2 linked regions of the Alligator mississippiensis genome follow. The protein of the gene in region 1 purifies or fractionates together with the protein of each later gene. This does not show direct contact. Links are inferred from orthologs where the notes say so. Each region holds a gene or a part of one and is shown on either strand. Other genes may lie near its edges. The genes, in order: ENO1 and TPI1.

Region 1 (7,744 bases):
ATCTGCAGTAGAGATGTGATTGCACAAAAATGTCCTGCAGCGTGACAATCCTGACTTGCATCTCCTTCCCCTCTATATTCCCTTGCCTTTTCCCAGGGATAGCTTAGGGCCCACACTCCCCTCCCATGATGTTTGATTGCTGATATGATGTAGCGTTTCCTTTCCCTGTGCCCAAATCCCTATAATCCAACTGAGGCTGCTTTTAAACAGCAGAGCTCATTAGGCTCTCCTATGGGCTGCATCTTGCTTTCATTTTCAGGGCTGCAGTGCAATCAAAGAAATGATGTCCCACCTTCCAAGAGAGATGTCAGTTCACAAGGAAATGGAGCAGTGAACTTCTCCCTTGTACAAGCAGGAGACTATTTCTCCTAAGCATTCCTCACTGTGGCCATCTCATAAGGTCCCGGACAAGGAGGCACATTGCTCCAACGTCCTTGACAAAATGCCCTCCCCAAAGCCCCTCCCCTTCCTTAGCAGCCATGCAGTTTCCAGCGCTGCAGCGTTACACAACTGCACAGAGCCGTCTGCCAGATAGTCTGACCCGACATGGCTCAGGTGCCTCCTGCTCCGATTCACTCGACCTCAGCCACGAAGGGGAAAGGAGAACAAGAGCCACCTCAACCCAGCTATGCTCCTGCCTGCCTGACTTCATGTTGCTGGTTGCATGCCAGGGAGAAAAGACTCTAGAAGCCAACATCTACAAAAGGATTTGGAAAGCAGAAATGTTCCTGGAGTCTATTCAGTGCTTGGAGATGGAGCCATGAATATAAAGTCTGCACAGCTGCAGCTTTGTATCTTGGTAGTTACAAAAAAAGAGGGAAACATTGAGCAACTAAGTTGCTCCTGATCTATGAGCAGGGTCAATTCTCCTATTAGGAAGACAGGAAAAGGCAGGCAGGGAACACACGCTAGGCTGGGACTTGCAGCATCCCGAATTCTGTCGCATCAAGCCTCTCAGATGTCTTATGTCCCATCCAAATTCTGGTGTATGGGGACAGTACATCACACAAGCAGCTGGCATGGGAAATTAAGCCAATTTCAACCTCAGGATTAAACAGATTGAAGAGACTTTTAGGCCACATCTTCACTGCCAAAAAAGGGAAGGATTCTGTGGCTAACTCACACTTGCCAAGTCATTATGCAAACGCCCCTGTTCTGGTAAGGAAATATGGTCTAAGATGGACACAGCCACTCGTTGCTGCTCAATATGACAGGCTGCTGAGGACGATGAAACAGTCCAAAGCGCAAGGGCACGTCCATGGCAGAGTCCTGCCTCTCTGCAGGGCCCAGGTTTTGTTATACAGCCACCAGCAGTTTGCTTGAACTTCCACTTGGTGCTGAACAGGATTTCCTGGAGGTCTGCAACCTCACCTACACCAGGTAATGAGCAAATGCAGCAGGGCGAGGTCCTGACACATCGCTTCCACAAGATAAGATGCAGTCAGAGTATGACCTTAGCAAGGACTCCTTCAGATCCCACCTCTCGACATACAGCACGTGGCTCATTCATTTGTATGCCTTCCATGCAACAGCCCTTAGGACCGTGCTTGGCACCCAGTGTGGCAGGGAATGCAGAAGTCAGGAAATGCCCAACTGTTCGGAGTCCATGTTTTTAATCAAGTGGAGGCCAGGGACTGCATTGCCTCCATTTGTGGTTTTGGAAGCGAAACAAGGGCTTCCTTCCTGCACAGCTCAAAGCCTGCATCCCTGCCCTGTGACTCAGCGTAGCCATTAACGGAAAGTCTGGATGACTAAAATTCCTCTCCTGACCACCTGCACCAACCCAATGCCAGTCAAAAGGAGACTTTGCACCATTTTTTCACTAGTGCATCAAGACAGTGGAGAGTCCCATCAGGTTACAGCCATTACCTCCCACCCTGTTCCAAAAGCAATGGGACATTTCATTATTTTCATGGTCAGATTTCAGTGACAGCCGCTAGCAGAGAACATTGGTCGAGCAATACACTCAATATTTGAGAACCAGGGCTGAAGGGCAGCTACTGTCGCAAGAGAGGAGAAGGTCCAGGGGACTGAGCAGTATCCAAGACAAACTGTCACTTGGGCCGTTAATCATTAAGAGGGGCATTTTATCTAGTCTTTGAGGAAGCAGGCTGCAGAACAGCACACAAATACGCACCCTGAAAGCTGCTCCCTTCCATCGATACAGCATGACTCAGTTCTCACTACAGGGAGGTGCACTCCTACTCAGCACTACTAACGTCATAGGAAAAGGAGGACTTAGGTAACCTGCATATATTACTGCGGCTGAGTCATAAGAGGCCGTTTCTAGAGGTCTAGTTCCCACTGCAAAGAGCACGTGCTTGACTGCTACAGCGTGCCTGGCCTGGCCGATATCAGCATGACCCAGGGGCCTGCAGGCCTTGCAAATCACTCCCTAGCTCTGCCCAGATTAGATGAGGAGCTGGTATGCGAGGCAGGGGAGCAGCCCAGAATGGGGTTGCTAGGGCTGCTCTGCTCTCCGGTTTCAACACCAGGCCCTTGCCCTGGCTCTGCACCCAACAGTGCCTGCACGGGCAGGGGAGTGAAACCCAGGACGGAGGGAGGGATTCAGGGCACGGGGGAGGATAAGGAAATGGAGAGAGGGAAAAGAAGTAGAAAGTGCAGAGGGGGGAAATAGGAGGAACAAGGAGGAGGAGGAAGATGCAGAGGGGGGAAATAGGAGGAACAAGGAGGAGGAGGAAGATGCAGAGGGGGGAAATAGGAGGAACAAGGAGGAGGAGGAAGATGCAGAGGGGGGAAATAGGAGGAACAAGGAGGAGGAGGAAGATGCAGAGGGGGGAAATAGGAGGAGGATGCAGATGCAGGGGTGGGGGGCGGGTGGATGGGACTAGGAAATGGAAGGAGGGAAGAGGAAGAAGGTGAAGAAGTACTGGAAGAAGCGGAAGGATGGGGACTAGGAAGCAGGAGGAGGGCCGAGGAAGGGGCTGACGACGATGGGAGCAGGGAAGCCGCCTGCCCAGCGCACAGCCCTGGTCCTGGTCCTGCTCCCGCCCGGCCCGGCCCGGCCCGGCCCGCTGCCCGGGGCGCGGCGGGGGAGAGACGCAGCGCCCCCCGCTCCCTGCAACCCCACGGCCCGCCCGCCCGCCCGCCCGCCCGCACGCACCGGGACCCAGCAGCAGCAGTGGCAGCGCCCAGACACGACCCGACACGACCGTCTCCGCCGGCAGCTCGCAGAGAGTGGGCCGAGCGGCCGCCCGCGCGCCTATACCCGCCCCATGCAGATGCGCCGCCCGGCCCGCCACGCCATTGGTCCGTCCGGCTCCGGCGGCCGCCTCCCATTGGCCCAGCGGGGCCTGGCGCCGCCCCGCCCCTGCGCTCGTGCGGGACGTGCAGGCGCCGTGGAAAAACCCCGCGCCGCGTGCGGGCCGCGCCGCCAAGGGTTAACCCCTGTGTCCCCCCAAACATGCACACCCCTACACACACATCTATGCACACAGCAAAGCCCCCTCAGGTTTAGCAGCGCCCCAAAGAGCGGGGGTGCCCTATGCCTGCAAATCCGAACCCCCTTTTTAAAAGAGGTGCTTTTGGGTGCCTCTGGTTGGCGGCCGGGTGCTGCCAGCAGGGTTATGCCCCGGGTAAAGCGGAGGAGCAGCCCCCAGGGCAGCCCACCGCGGGACTGGAGCCAGGCCTGGCTTTCTGGGACTACGAAGTTGCTGGGGAAGGTCCTTTCGGGCCTCCAGATGGATTTGCAACTATCCCCCAAATGCAGCCCAGCATCGGGCAGAAATTCATAACAATCAAATAATAATAAATTGGAAAGGTTTCTCTGTTTGGATTTTGCCTTTTGGAATGATTTTCATTCAGAAAATTTACCTAAAGTTACTCGTAGTAAAAACTGGGGTGAGGACCCTGAAATCAAAAGCTGACACTTTGGTTCAGATGGAAGAAAAGCCCAAATGAAGTCGTTCGGGGTTTTCATTTTGCTCAGGAAACTGGAAAAGCAACAGTTTGGTCCACACTATCATGGACGAAATCAGGAAATTGCAACAAGTCCCATTCCCTTCTCTTTTTTGGCTGCAGGAAAGATGAAGGAAGAGGCTAGGACAAAGCGTAGGCAAGCAGTTGTGGAGAAGAAAGGCAGGGGGGTGCTGGAGACATGTAGCTAGGTGCTAAGCGGCGAGGATTCAGTGAGTTTAGCTTGTCACGGCGCCGGCAAGAATTTTTGCACTTCTATTATCCCCTTATGAAATGCAGGCCTTAGGGTCAAAAGATAAGGCACTGATCTGTGCAGCTAACACGTGCAGTGCCATTTAGCCCTTCATAAGGTTTTGGTGGGTGGAATGCGGCTGCGAGGGGGATGGGCAAGGGGAATTTCACTGTGGCTGCCAGGTTTCAATCCCTCCTCCCCACCTCAGGAGTGTACTAAACTGCCTGTCTAGAGATGACATGCTGCATTGGCTCATAACGAGAGCTTTGAAAAGCAGGTTTTTTTCATATTGCACAGAGAATGCACCAGAACTTCAGTGAATGTAGCATCCTTTCATGTGCCAACCCAACCCTTTAATATGCAGCATCACAGAAACACAAATCAGATACAAGCATCTTCTTTCGGCAACACAAAAACTGCCAAGTAATTGAAAAGGTCTTTGAAGAAAATGGCCCTGAACAGTTTATGTTTCCATTCTCCAAATGGTCACTCTGAAGACAAGGGGGGAGCTGTTCTTTGTTAGCAAATGGGGAGCACGTGCTCTGCAAAACTGCTCGTGCCTAAGTATTTGAAGATAAGAGACCATTGCATTGTTAGCAATGGGGATTTGGGATGTGTAAAAAATGCTGGATTTAGGCCAAGGGAAGTTTTTCATTTCAGTCTGCTTTGGATTAGGAGGCCTGTGTCCTGTAAGTGAGAACAAGAGCAGCCAGTTAAAAATATATATTTTGCAATGGATAGGTATTTGAAATACTTATTGGTACTCGCTGTGTGTTTTCAAGATGGGGCTGATAGTAATGCTTAAAACGGACTGCTGGCAGTCCTTGGACTTACAACACAATTGGTTCCTGAAAACCCTGTCTTAAGTCGAAACATTGTAACTTGAAACCGATTTTTCCATAGGATGCAATGTTATAAATGGGGGATTGGTTCCTGAACCAAGGCCCAATACCCTATTTTCACCAAAAATAACCGAGAATTTTGTACTCAATCAATTATAGATGCATAATATAGCTAGATTAATGTATTTAGACTGTAAATAGTAATCATATTGATTCGGAAGGACTTCTTTGAGGTGACTTTGCTGGACTTTTTGAAGGGCTCTTAGCTGGAGTGTTCTCAGGAGTCTTGGCTGAAGGTTTTCCTGAAGTCTTGAACTTGTTCACTGGCATGGCGTCGCATCGGATCAAGCATTGTAAAGTTGAAACTGAGGTCAGAAAGTTGAAACAGGGTGTCAATTTCTAAAAGTTGTAAGTGCGAAACGTTGTAACTCGAAACGTTGTAAGTTGAGGGTTGCCTGTACACATACTGTCCCTAAGAGACAAAAGAAAATACTTTGGTACATTGTTTCAGCCTTACTTCTCTATGAAATAAAGACACAAAAATGGATGAGGAACAAATATTGAAGCATGGTCTCTCCCCCCAACCCAGCCTCTCTCTCTCCCACTGACTCCTCAATTTACATCTTCACTGACTGTCTGTCTTGCATGCAGACCAGACCAGCCTCTGGCTTCTTTACTTTTCATGCCATCCAGGAAGAGCACACACCAACTGCTGAAACTTCCTCAGCCTGATGAAGGGTTTTTAAACCCAAAAGCTTATTTAAATGTTTTCCCCCCCCAACTATTTAAGTTGGCCTAATAAAAGATATCAGATTCACCCAAAGAACCTTGTCTGATGAACCATGATAAATTCTGAGAGGTGAGAATTTCATAGGTTGATATCTTTTATTGGAACAACTGTAGTTGGGATAGTTAGACAAGCTTCTGAATGCAAGACATTCTTCACAACGAAATGCAAAACCCTGAACTTTGGAGTTCAGAGCTTATAGCTTTTATTAGATCAACTAAGAAATTGCAAAAAAAATATCTTTCTTTGGAAGTTTTCGGGTACATGCACCTTCTTTAGGCTAAGGAGAAATTAAGAAGGGTACATGTGCCCGAAAGCTTACAAAGAAAGATAATATTTTTGCAATTTCTTAGTTAAAAGGTATCATCTCTGAACCAAGAGTTTTAGAGCTTTGCATTTCTTTTTGTCTCAGACCAACATGGCTACCACATACATCCCTGAGACATTCTTCAACAAGTTCTGTGAAATGCATTTGGATTTTGGAACAAATCAATATCAACAGCACTTGCATCTCTTTTGGGTTCACTATCCGTCAACAGCCAAAAGCAACAAATGCTTGTGGAAGGCTGATTTGGAAGCCAAATCGTGTGTGTGTGTTCATAATAAATTAATTTTAAATGTGCACTCATGGTGGGCTCATGCATCAAACAGACAGAGGACACCTATAAAATACCACCTGATTTATCTAACCAATTGCAACTTGGCAGCAATTCTGAAGGAGCATATTTCAAGGGCCAAGTGATCTCCCAGGACAGTTTAGTATCACATGCCATGGAATCAAAACTGTTTGTCAAAATAATGTGATAAATACTTCCAAAGAAACTGTGCTCCATTCAAGGACATTTTGTGACAAGCACAATAATCAGATAACTTTTCAATGATACTGATTCACTCAGCTGTACTTACTCTTTCTTGTTACTGGGATAACACTTGAAAGGCATGTGATGTTGAACTGTGCACAAAATGCGCAGAGTCCCAGCTCTGGAAATTAATAGCTTGCTTTTTATGGAGTCAGTGGGGATCCCTTGTCATGGTGTATAATAAGAATGTGATGTTTTGTGCGAGTCACTCCCCATTGACAAAGCCGCTGAGAAATACTTTCCCCCCTAGGATTCACTTGATCATCTTGCACTATCAGCTGTTCCCAGCCCACAGCTGAGTAAAGCCTTACTGGACTCAAAGCTTCTGCTTGACATGCCAAAAAGTCTATGGCCAGAGCCAGTGTGAGCTGCGGAAGTTGTGACATACCCTGATCCATAAGCAAAGATAGAGTCTCTTCCTGCTACCAGCTGCCAGTCTCTTCCAACTACTTTGCTTCCAAGGGTACTTGTTGGACTGGCTGTTCTGATTAGAGAGACATAGATAGCTCTGCTGGTCTGAAGTCAAATATAAGGCAGAGTAGCTTTGCACCTTATAGACTGGGGCGGGCAATTTTTTTGGGTGGAGGGCCGCTTGCTGAGTTTTGGCAAGCCATCGAGGGCCGCATGACAAGCAGCCGGGGCAGATAAATATTGATTTTCTAAATTTTGTAGGGGCCCCATGGGCTGGATACAATGGTCTGGCGGGCCACATCCGGCCCGCGGGCCACATTTTGCCCACCCCTGTGATACACTACCTAAAGTGTGTATGGAGAGCACATGCTTTTGTGGGCTGAAACTCACTTCATCAGATGCTGTGAAAGGACATTTAATGTTCTGATCAGGTCAGCCGGGTCACATACCTGTAGCTAAAATGCAGGGGACACAGGACAAAGCTATGCTAAGGCCCAGCATAACTGCTATGGACAGGATGAGAAGATGATTTGATTAGAGAGATCCCTTCACAAGGCTAAAATGAGACAAGTGGATAATGTCACACTGCCGGGATCACAGCAATCTAGGGAAGGACAAAGGAAGTCCTTTGTTCTCACCCTCTCTGCTCCCACTTTGCTATATTACCACACCTGTT
Region 2 (7,421 bases), on another chromosome or scaffold:
GTCATTGCTCTTTTTAGATTGGGGCATAAATCTAGGCTACAGAAGCTTTATGAAAGACAGTGGTTTTCAACATTTTTAGAGTCTATGCACCTGTTATATTACATTTGAGGCCCCCCTCAGAAAATGCCAGCTCTTTAACACACTTTTTTTGACTACAGAAAAATACCAGAGCAATTCTGTTGCAAAGAACTCAGAAACACTATAGCAGGCCAGAATGTTTTTAACACTATGGATTCCGATTTGAAATCTCTGAATTTATCTTGTGAACATGTTTGCACACCAAACAGTGCTAATATTATACAGCATCTTATGGCACCCTTGAAAGGATCTTGGGGCACCTCTGGGTGCCATGGCACCCTGGTTTGAGAATCACTGGTATAAAGAAAGGGACTCATGCAGGACACAACAGAGCCCACAGGTGTATCTGACCATTGTTTGGGGAGGGGGGGTCTTTAAAACAGACCTTATAAGTATGCCAAGTGCAGTGCAGGAATAGTTCTCTAGCTTGTGTAAAAGCACAAGAGTCAAAGATTCACAGAAAGATGTAGAAATGATACAACAGGAATGTTGATTCTGTTTACAAAAGGGGGATAGATATTTTCACTAACAAACAGATGTTAAGATCATTTTCATAGGTGTTGCTGCAGACACTATTGGGGGGGGAGGAGGTGCATTGTTCCTTGATGCACTTGGCTTGGTAAAGCATGGTTAAAGGAAGATGCTGCTGAAACTGTCAGCTCTGAGCTTTGAGATGGGTGTTTAAAGCAGAGCAAGAGGCCAAAGGAAAGGATGTATTTGTTTATTAGGCCAGAGGTAAGCCCTTTTGATGGAGTGGCTCATGGCTGTTTGTAAGGGGTATAAAAGAAATACAAGATGCCACTTTCTCTTCAAACTTTGTGCTGACACAAGTAAGCTACTGAATTACAGATTGATGGCACAAACCCAATTCTTTTGTGACCAAAGGTGAGACAGGCGTGTATCTTAGCCTGGTATTGTACTTTTTTGCCATATGACAGGGAGGGCATCGAGGCAGAGAGCATGTTCTGTGACCTGCACCCTGAGTCCATTTTTCCTAAAGCAGTTGCTTTTGTAGATGATGTTACAGTGATGATGACAACCTTGGGGGAAAAAAACCAAGCAACTCCCAAGTGTGTATGCCTACTGATGAAAACATCTCTGGGGCTTTGTAGTATGTTAAGAGTAAGACAGGCCCAGGTCATGGCTTTTAAAAACTAGTGGGAATCATTATGTCCACAGAGGTTGTGAAGCCTCTGGCTGAGGAAAGTCCAGTGTTCCTGGAGCCAACCTTTTTGGCAGGGATGGCACAAGATGAGCTCCACACCCTCCCCAAGTGCCACTCCCATCCCCTTCCCATACCCAATCTGCTGCTTTTGGTTGCTATTCTGTGGTCTGATTGGATGTCCTCTGCTCCCTGCCCAGTCTGTTATCTGCTGTGCACCACAAGAACCCTCTGTGCTGCTTGTGACATGCTTGACACAGGTTGGCCACCCCAGCCTAGAGAATCCAGATGGCAGGGGGAAAGCGGGGAATGTAACAGCCTGTTAGGCGATCCAGGCTGGTAGAGGATATGCTTGAGTAGCAGAAACAGGCACCTCAGGCCTGGTCATGTGTGGTATAGGTGCATGGTAGTCTCTAAACTACATCAGCAGTAGCAGATCCCACTGCTGTCACAGGACAACCATTCAGACATCCTTTGTGATAGCACAGGACAAACTGTCAGCACCTCTTATCCTAAGAACCTTTTGGGGGCTTTGTCCTGTGACATCTGAATGCTCACATTTTGTCGGGGGGGGGAATATTTTCTCTTGGGACAAGGGTGATGTCTGTTTGTAACTGAATGGTCAGGGTTTGGAGGAGGGGGTGAAAGCATCAGGCCCTAGTAGAAACCTGTGAATGACAGAACAATACAGTAAGTGATGTCTAGTGTGACAGCAACTACCTGTTTGCTCTAAAGAAAGGTGAGTGGATTGACATGGGGTATAAGATGAGAAGATGGGCCTGGAGGATATAACAATATCATCTATACATTTTTCGGAACCTTTTAGGGGAGGCAGGTGGACATAGGCCAGGGGGGTGGGGGGGAGATGGGCCTGGACCTGAAGGGGAAGTAGGGTGGAAACAGGCCCGGAGGCTTGGACAGGGGGGGCGGCATGCTTCCCTCATTCCCGGTCATTCTTGATGGGCAATTAGTTAATTGTATTATATCCATTTATCAAGTTTGTTTGCAAAGGAGCTGGCCATTGGTTTGTAATCAAGCTTTGAGTAGGGGACACAAAGTTTTTTTTAACAAAGGCATTTTGATACTACTGATGAAAAGGAAGAGACAGGTCACCCTGTGTAGGCCACTCATTCCATAATAGGTCCTCTAAAGTTTCACTGTGGAGTCTGGCACAAGCCCCACTTTCTCTGCTACATCTGGAACTGCCAAGCACAGTTAAAGGCTGACTTCTATTAGACTTGTTGGCTGATCAGAGGGTGGTTTTTAAAACAGGAGTCGGGGGCCAGTGAAGAGGCTTTGGGCAGAATCGTATTTCATGATGTGGGTGCTTAAGTGCCACTTACAGGCTGTTTTTCTGGTATCTGTCTTAAGTGCAGCACTAATTCACTTTTTTCAGAATTGAATGGCACTTACTTGGCTGTTTACTACTGCAGTACACATCAGCCAGGTAACTTGTACCCACAGCCACTAAGCATGCTCCTCCACAGAGATCCTAGTCATCTCTGGAAATGCACAGTGGCCATTTATACCCCGGAGCAAATCTGTCCTGTTCCTCTGGGCATCTAGTGGTTTTCCAAGACCAAATAGAAAAATAAATGTAATTATGCAAAAAGTACAACTAGCAGGATTCAGCTGCATTGGCAAGTGCTACTGCTTCTGCTGCATTACTTTGCAGCCAATTGAAACCTGGACCATAGATAAGGGGCCCTGGGATCCTGGAGCAGTACTAGGCTGGGGGTTGAGGGGGACTCTTAATGGAGGACTGTGTTGAGGCCAGAGAGAGGCCAAGGACATGCTCCTGCATCCTGTTGGTAGTGTTGGCTACCCAGCCCCCAGGATGCTTCAGCTCTGGCCACATTGCTGACCTCAACTACTTCAACAGCAATCATGCAGAGGGGGCCCAGGGCCAGGGTCCAGGAGCAGCCTCAGACCCATGTGTACCTGCCTCACCAAATTGTTGAGGAGCTGGCAGATGTCTGGAGTTGTAGGTGTGTCCAGAGGCAAATGTGGTGCACTAACCTTGCTGTTGAGGGCTATGGGCCAGCACAGCTAGAGGGCTCTGCGTTCTCTAGCAGGCTACATGCCCCCAACTTCTGGTAGCCTGCCTGTTGCCCACCAGGCTGGATAGAGATGCTCTAAGCTAGATCTGGCCCACGTGCTGCATGTTTGAAGCCCTTGACGTAGACCATGGCCACTGCTGGACACAGGTAAGGTTCCATGCACCTGACAAGCCTCCTAGTGAAAGCTCCCCTATGCCTCCTGGCCGCCCTGCTGAAGAAGCACCCTGCCCCACTGCCTTGGGTCCCTCCACTTCTGGAGAGACTCCTTGTTCCAGCCCCTGACCACCCCCTTGCTGCTTCCAGCTTCCACAGCAGGCAGGCGTGCTCCACCCCAGGTGGTCTGCAGTCCTGGGTCTCCTGAATGTCTCCAGGAGTTAGGCAGTAAAATCAGGTAGCTGAAAAAACCAACACAGCCCCCCCCCCCCAAAAAAAAAAAAAAGCTCTGTGTATAACGTGAGCAGAAGACAACACAGATTTGCACTGCCTAGTGATACTCGACCAGGGTGCTGGGCACCTAGGGGTGCCACAAGTGTCTTTTGAAGGGCCCCCTCAGCCCCCCGTGCTTCGTGGGCTAACTGCACCCTCTCCCCCATGTCCTGGTAGCCTGCCTATTGCCCAGCAGGGCTTCTTGGGCTATGACAACCTGTGAGGTGGGGCAGGCAATCATTCGTCACTGAGACCCAGGCAGAGGCAGGTGAGCGCACACGCACAAGGGCGGTGCAGGAACCTCGTGTCCCCCAAAGCAAGGAAGCGCGGGGCAGCGGGAGGGAACAGGATGCGCGGGGTCTTCCAGCGCGGACAGGGGCCGCTCTCTCCCCCTGGGAAACGCCCCGGGGGCGGGGCGTATGGAACGCGGGGCGGGGCTGCCCAGCCGGCCTATAAAAGCGCGGCAGTGGCGACTGCGCGGAGCTTTTGACCTTGCCTCGTCCTGAGCCGTCGTCCTACTTGCTCCGCTCCAGCTATGGCGCCCAGGAAGTTCTTCGTGGGGGGGAACTGGAAGATGAACGGCGACAAGAAGAGCCTGGGCGAGCTCATCCACACCCTCAACGGCGGCAAGATCCCCGCCGAGACCGGTGAGAGCCGCGCAGCGCGGCATCCCGGCCCTGCAGCCACTCGCGGGGCGGGTCTCCGCGCTGTGCCGCGCCGCACGTACGCCCTGGCTCGCCTCGGCCCACGTGACGCCGCCGCCGGCTGCTGCTTCCTCCCGGCCCCGGGGATGCTGTGGCGGCGCCCGTCCGGCTCACACGGGCTGGCGCTGCCCCATCGTGGGGCGGCTGGGCGGGGGTAGGTAGGGTTGGGCTGGAGCTACCCGCTCCTCTGCCTCGCCCTGGCTCTCTGCGGGACAGGACTTCCTAAGTTGGCACGTGGCTCGCCCAGGTCCCTGCTCTCCTGGGCTGGGGCTGGGGCTGGCCTCGCTTCCCTTCCCTTTAGGGCAGCAGCTCTCAAGCCTCTGAGACTCCAGGCTGCCCTTGCTGGGCTGCAGGCAGGCCTGAGGAAATTCCAGCTCTTGGCCTCTTCCATGTTTCCCAGTGGAAGAGGAGCAGGGCACGTCTGGTGGCAGAAGACTCCAAAACCCACAGGGCAAAATCGGTTTAGCACCACGGCTTCCTACTTGAAATCATTGGGAGTCACATTGGCATGCTCTAGAGCATGGCACGGCACCCTGAACCTACTTCAAGGCACCCCAGGGTGCTGTGGGAACCTGGCCAGGGATCACTGCTCTAGGACTTGACATTGCTTTGGTTCCAATGCTAATTGAGTTAAACCAGTACAGTTAAAACCAGGCTTAGTTATGTTGTTTCAGCTTTGTGCACATATCTGGCCTGGTCCTCCCTCCCAGCCCAGGCTTTGTGCTCCCTTACACAGGGCTTCTGCCCCCATCTCCCTGAGGGTTGCTTGATATCCTGTGTTCACAACTTTAGCTGGGCTCCTGCTCCTCCTCTTGGTGTCCTTGGGACATCTTGGCTCCAGGCCAGCAGGGGAAGAGCAGGACTCATGGAATCTTCCTTCTCTTTGGATGTCTGCCTCCTGCCTCCTCAGAAAGGGCTAGATGGGGCTGGGGGAGCTGTTATTCTGCGGGAGGCACCCTGAAGAAATGTCAAAGGGCTGTGAGGAGATGGAAGCCTAAATATAACCAATGGTGACTGGGCTAAAAATATCGGCTACTGTACTTGGTGTTGGAAACCAGATTCCCTCCCCCCTCTCCCCCTTCTAAAGGCCAGAGGGGAGGGGAGCTGGGGCAGCCCCTGGGGCTATTAGTTGCAGGTACTCTCCCTGAAACTATCACAACCCCCTCCTTTTTTGGAGAGGGCAGTGCTGAGTACTGTAGGCTTCCTTGCTGCTGCCTTCAAAGTGGGTGGCTGGCTGGGACTATAACGTCCCTGTTTGGGGTAGGCATCCTGTCTCATCCTGGTACACAGACTAGATGGCAGAGCTCCATATGTATGCAGATAGGCAGTGTTATAACATGGCTCCTGCACCCAGACTCTAAGCTCCATGCTTGCCTTGGTAGTGATTGAAGCCTGTGTGTTCAGTGGACAGGATCAGACCTGCCCAGTGGAAGAACCCCCTGCCCCTCCCTGTTTTGCATCTAATTTTTATGTTTTCCTTCACTTGGCAGCAGCATCCCTTCTGTCTCCACCTTTTCTGGCCTCCACTCGTGTGCAGGGAAGGTGAACACACTGTCTACAAGAGAGTGCTGCAGTGGTGGTTTCCCCAAGTTCAGTGTCCGAGAAGCATCAGCCGGACAGCTCTTTAGTTACTGTAGTGGGACAAGCTGTACTGTGTAGCTGTAGGGATAATTGAAGCTTCACTGGGATACATGTAGTTCAGGACTTGTAGCTCTACTCTTCAGGGACCTGAACAGTGGGGCTTCTGCTCCCTTTCATGGAGTAATGATTCCTTAAGATTCCCAGTCCCCTCAGTGTTGGGTAATGGTTCCTGACCACCTTTTTCCTGTCACTGTGTCTGTTCCCCCTTTATCTTGGCCTTCCTGGCTCCCAGTTACACTTATAATCCCCTGTGCAAGTCAGTGCTCCCCTCCTTACTCTCAATTCATCTAAACTATCTGCAGAAAGAAAAGAACAACTTTCAATTGGACAGTTCCCAGGGGTCCTTTGCTCTGATTTGGAAACCTGAAACATTGCATCATCCTGTTGTTGAGAGATGTGAGAAGTGGTTTCCTATGACAGTGTTCCCCCTAAGTTCTGTGAGCAAGGAAATCAAACTGCATCAGCAATAACCCTCCTGCTCTAGTGGGTCCTTGAAATTCAACAAAGCTGGCTTGTGATGGGTTGCTACAGCTTAACAGAGCTGAGAGATGGGTTGGAGTAGGGGTGAGCACCTGGGGGCAAGGGAAGTTCTACAACTGGAGGGTGGGTCAGATCTGACACCCTGCCTGCTCCCCATGAGGTTTACTCCATCTTTTATCTTTCAGAGGTGGTTTGTGGAGCCCCTTCCATCTACCTTGACTTCACCCGTCAGAAACTAGATGCAAAGATCGGGGTTGCAGCACAGAACTGTTACAAGGTGCCAAAGGGAGCATTCACAGGAGAGATTAGGTGAGCCTGCAGTCGCAGATGGAGCTGGTGGAACAGAAACTGAAACTTATTGCAACAGGTACCCATTTCAACACGGACCCCAAAACTAATGTTTCTCCTTTCTTCCCATTCAGCCCAGCCATGATTAAAGATGTTGGAGCTACCTGGGTTATCCTTGGCCACTCAGAGAGAAGGCATGTTTTTGGAGAGTCTGATGAGGTGAGTGATTTTTTTTTTTTTTTTTTGCAGGGTTGGGGCGAGGTGAAAACAAACTATCTTTTAACATCTTCATGGGCAGGGGGCTAGAGCTGCCCTAGAAGGTGAACACTGGGAGTGAGTCTGACCATAGCTCAAGCTTTCTTCCTTTCCTGTCCTCCTTCCAGCTGATTGGACAGAAAGTGGCTCACGCCCTGGCTGAGGGTCTTGGTGTGATTGCCTGCATTGGAGAGAAACTGGATGAGAGAGAAGCTGGCATCACAGAGAAAGTGGTTTTTGAACAGACCAAAGCTATTGCTGGTAAGAAAGCTTTGGCTGTTTGTCTGTGTCCCATGAAGGGAGGGAGTATTTGGGCTGAAAACTCTT

The links.
Region 2: the proteins of ENO1 (region 1) and TPI1 fractionate together in Homo sapiens (co-fractionation; 4 studies listed by BioGRID, with this or other methods). This does not show direct contact. The link is inferred for Alligator mississippiensis from reciprocal best matches to the Homo sapiens genes ENO1 and TPI1.

What each region holds. Positions count from the first base shown.
Region 1 is NC_081836.1:10,361,109-10,368,852, forward strand, and holds the start of ENO1 (enolase 1, (alpha)), read right to left. Parts: upstream 3,164-7,744; 5' UTR 3,125-3,163; intron 1-3,124. UniProt on the Homo sapiens protein: Glycolytic enzyme the catalyzes the conversion of 2-phosphoglycerate to phosphoenolpyruvate. In addition to glycolysis, involved in various processes such as growth control, hypoxia tolerance and allergic responses.
Region 2 is NC_081824.1:244,003,831-244,011,251, forward strand, and holds the start of TPI1 (triosephosphate isomerase), read left to right. Parts: upstream 1-4,201; 5' UTR 4,202-4,261; coding exon 4,262-4,373; intron 4,374-6,736; coding exon 6,737-6,860; intron 6,861-6,973; coding exon 6,974-7,058; intron 7,059-7,222; coding exon 7,223-7,355; intron 7,356-7,421. UniProt on the Homo sapiens protein: Triosephosphate isomerase is an extremely efficient metabolic enzyme that catalyzes the interconversion between dihydroxyacetone phosphate (DHAP) and D-glyceraldehyde-3-phosphate (G3P) in glycolysis and gluconeogenesis.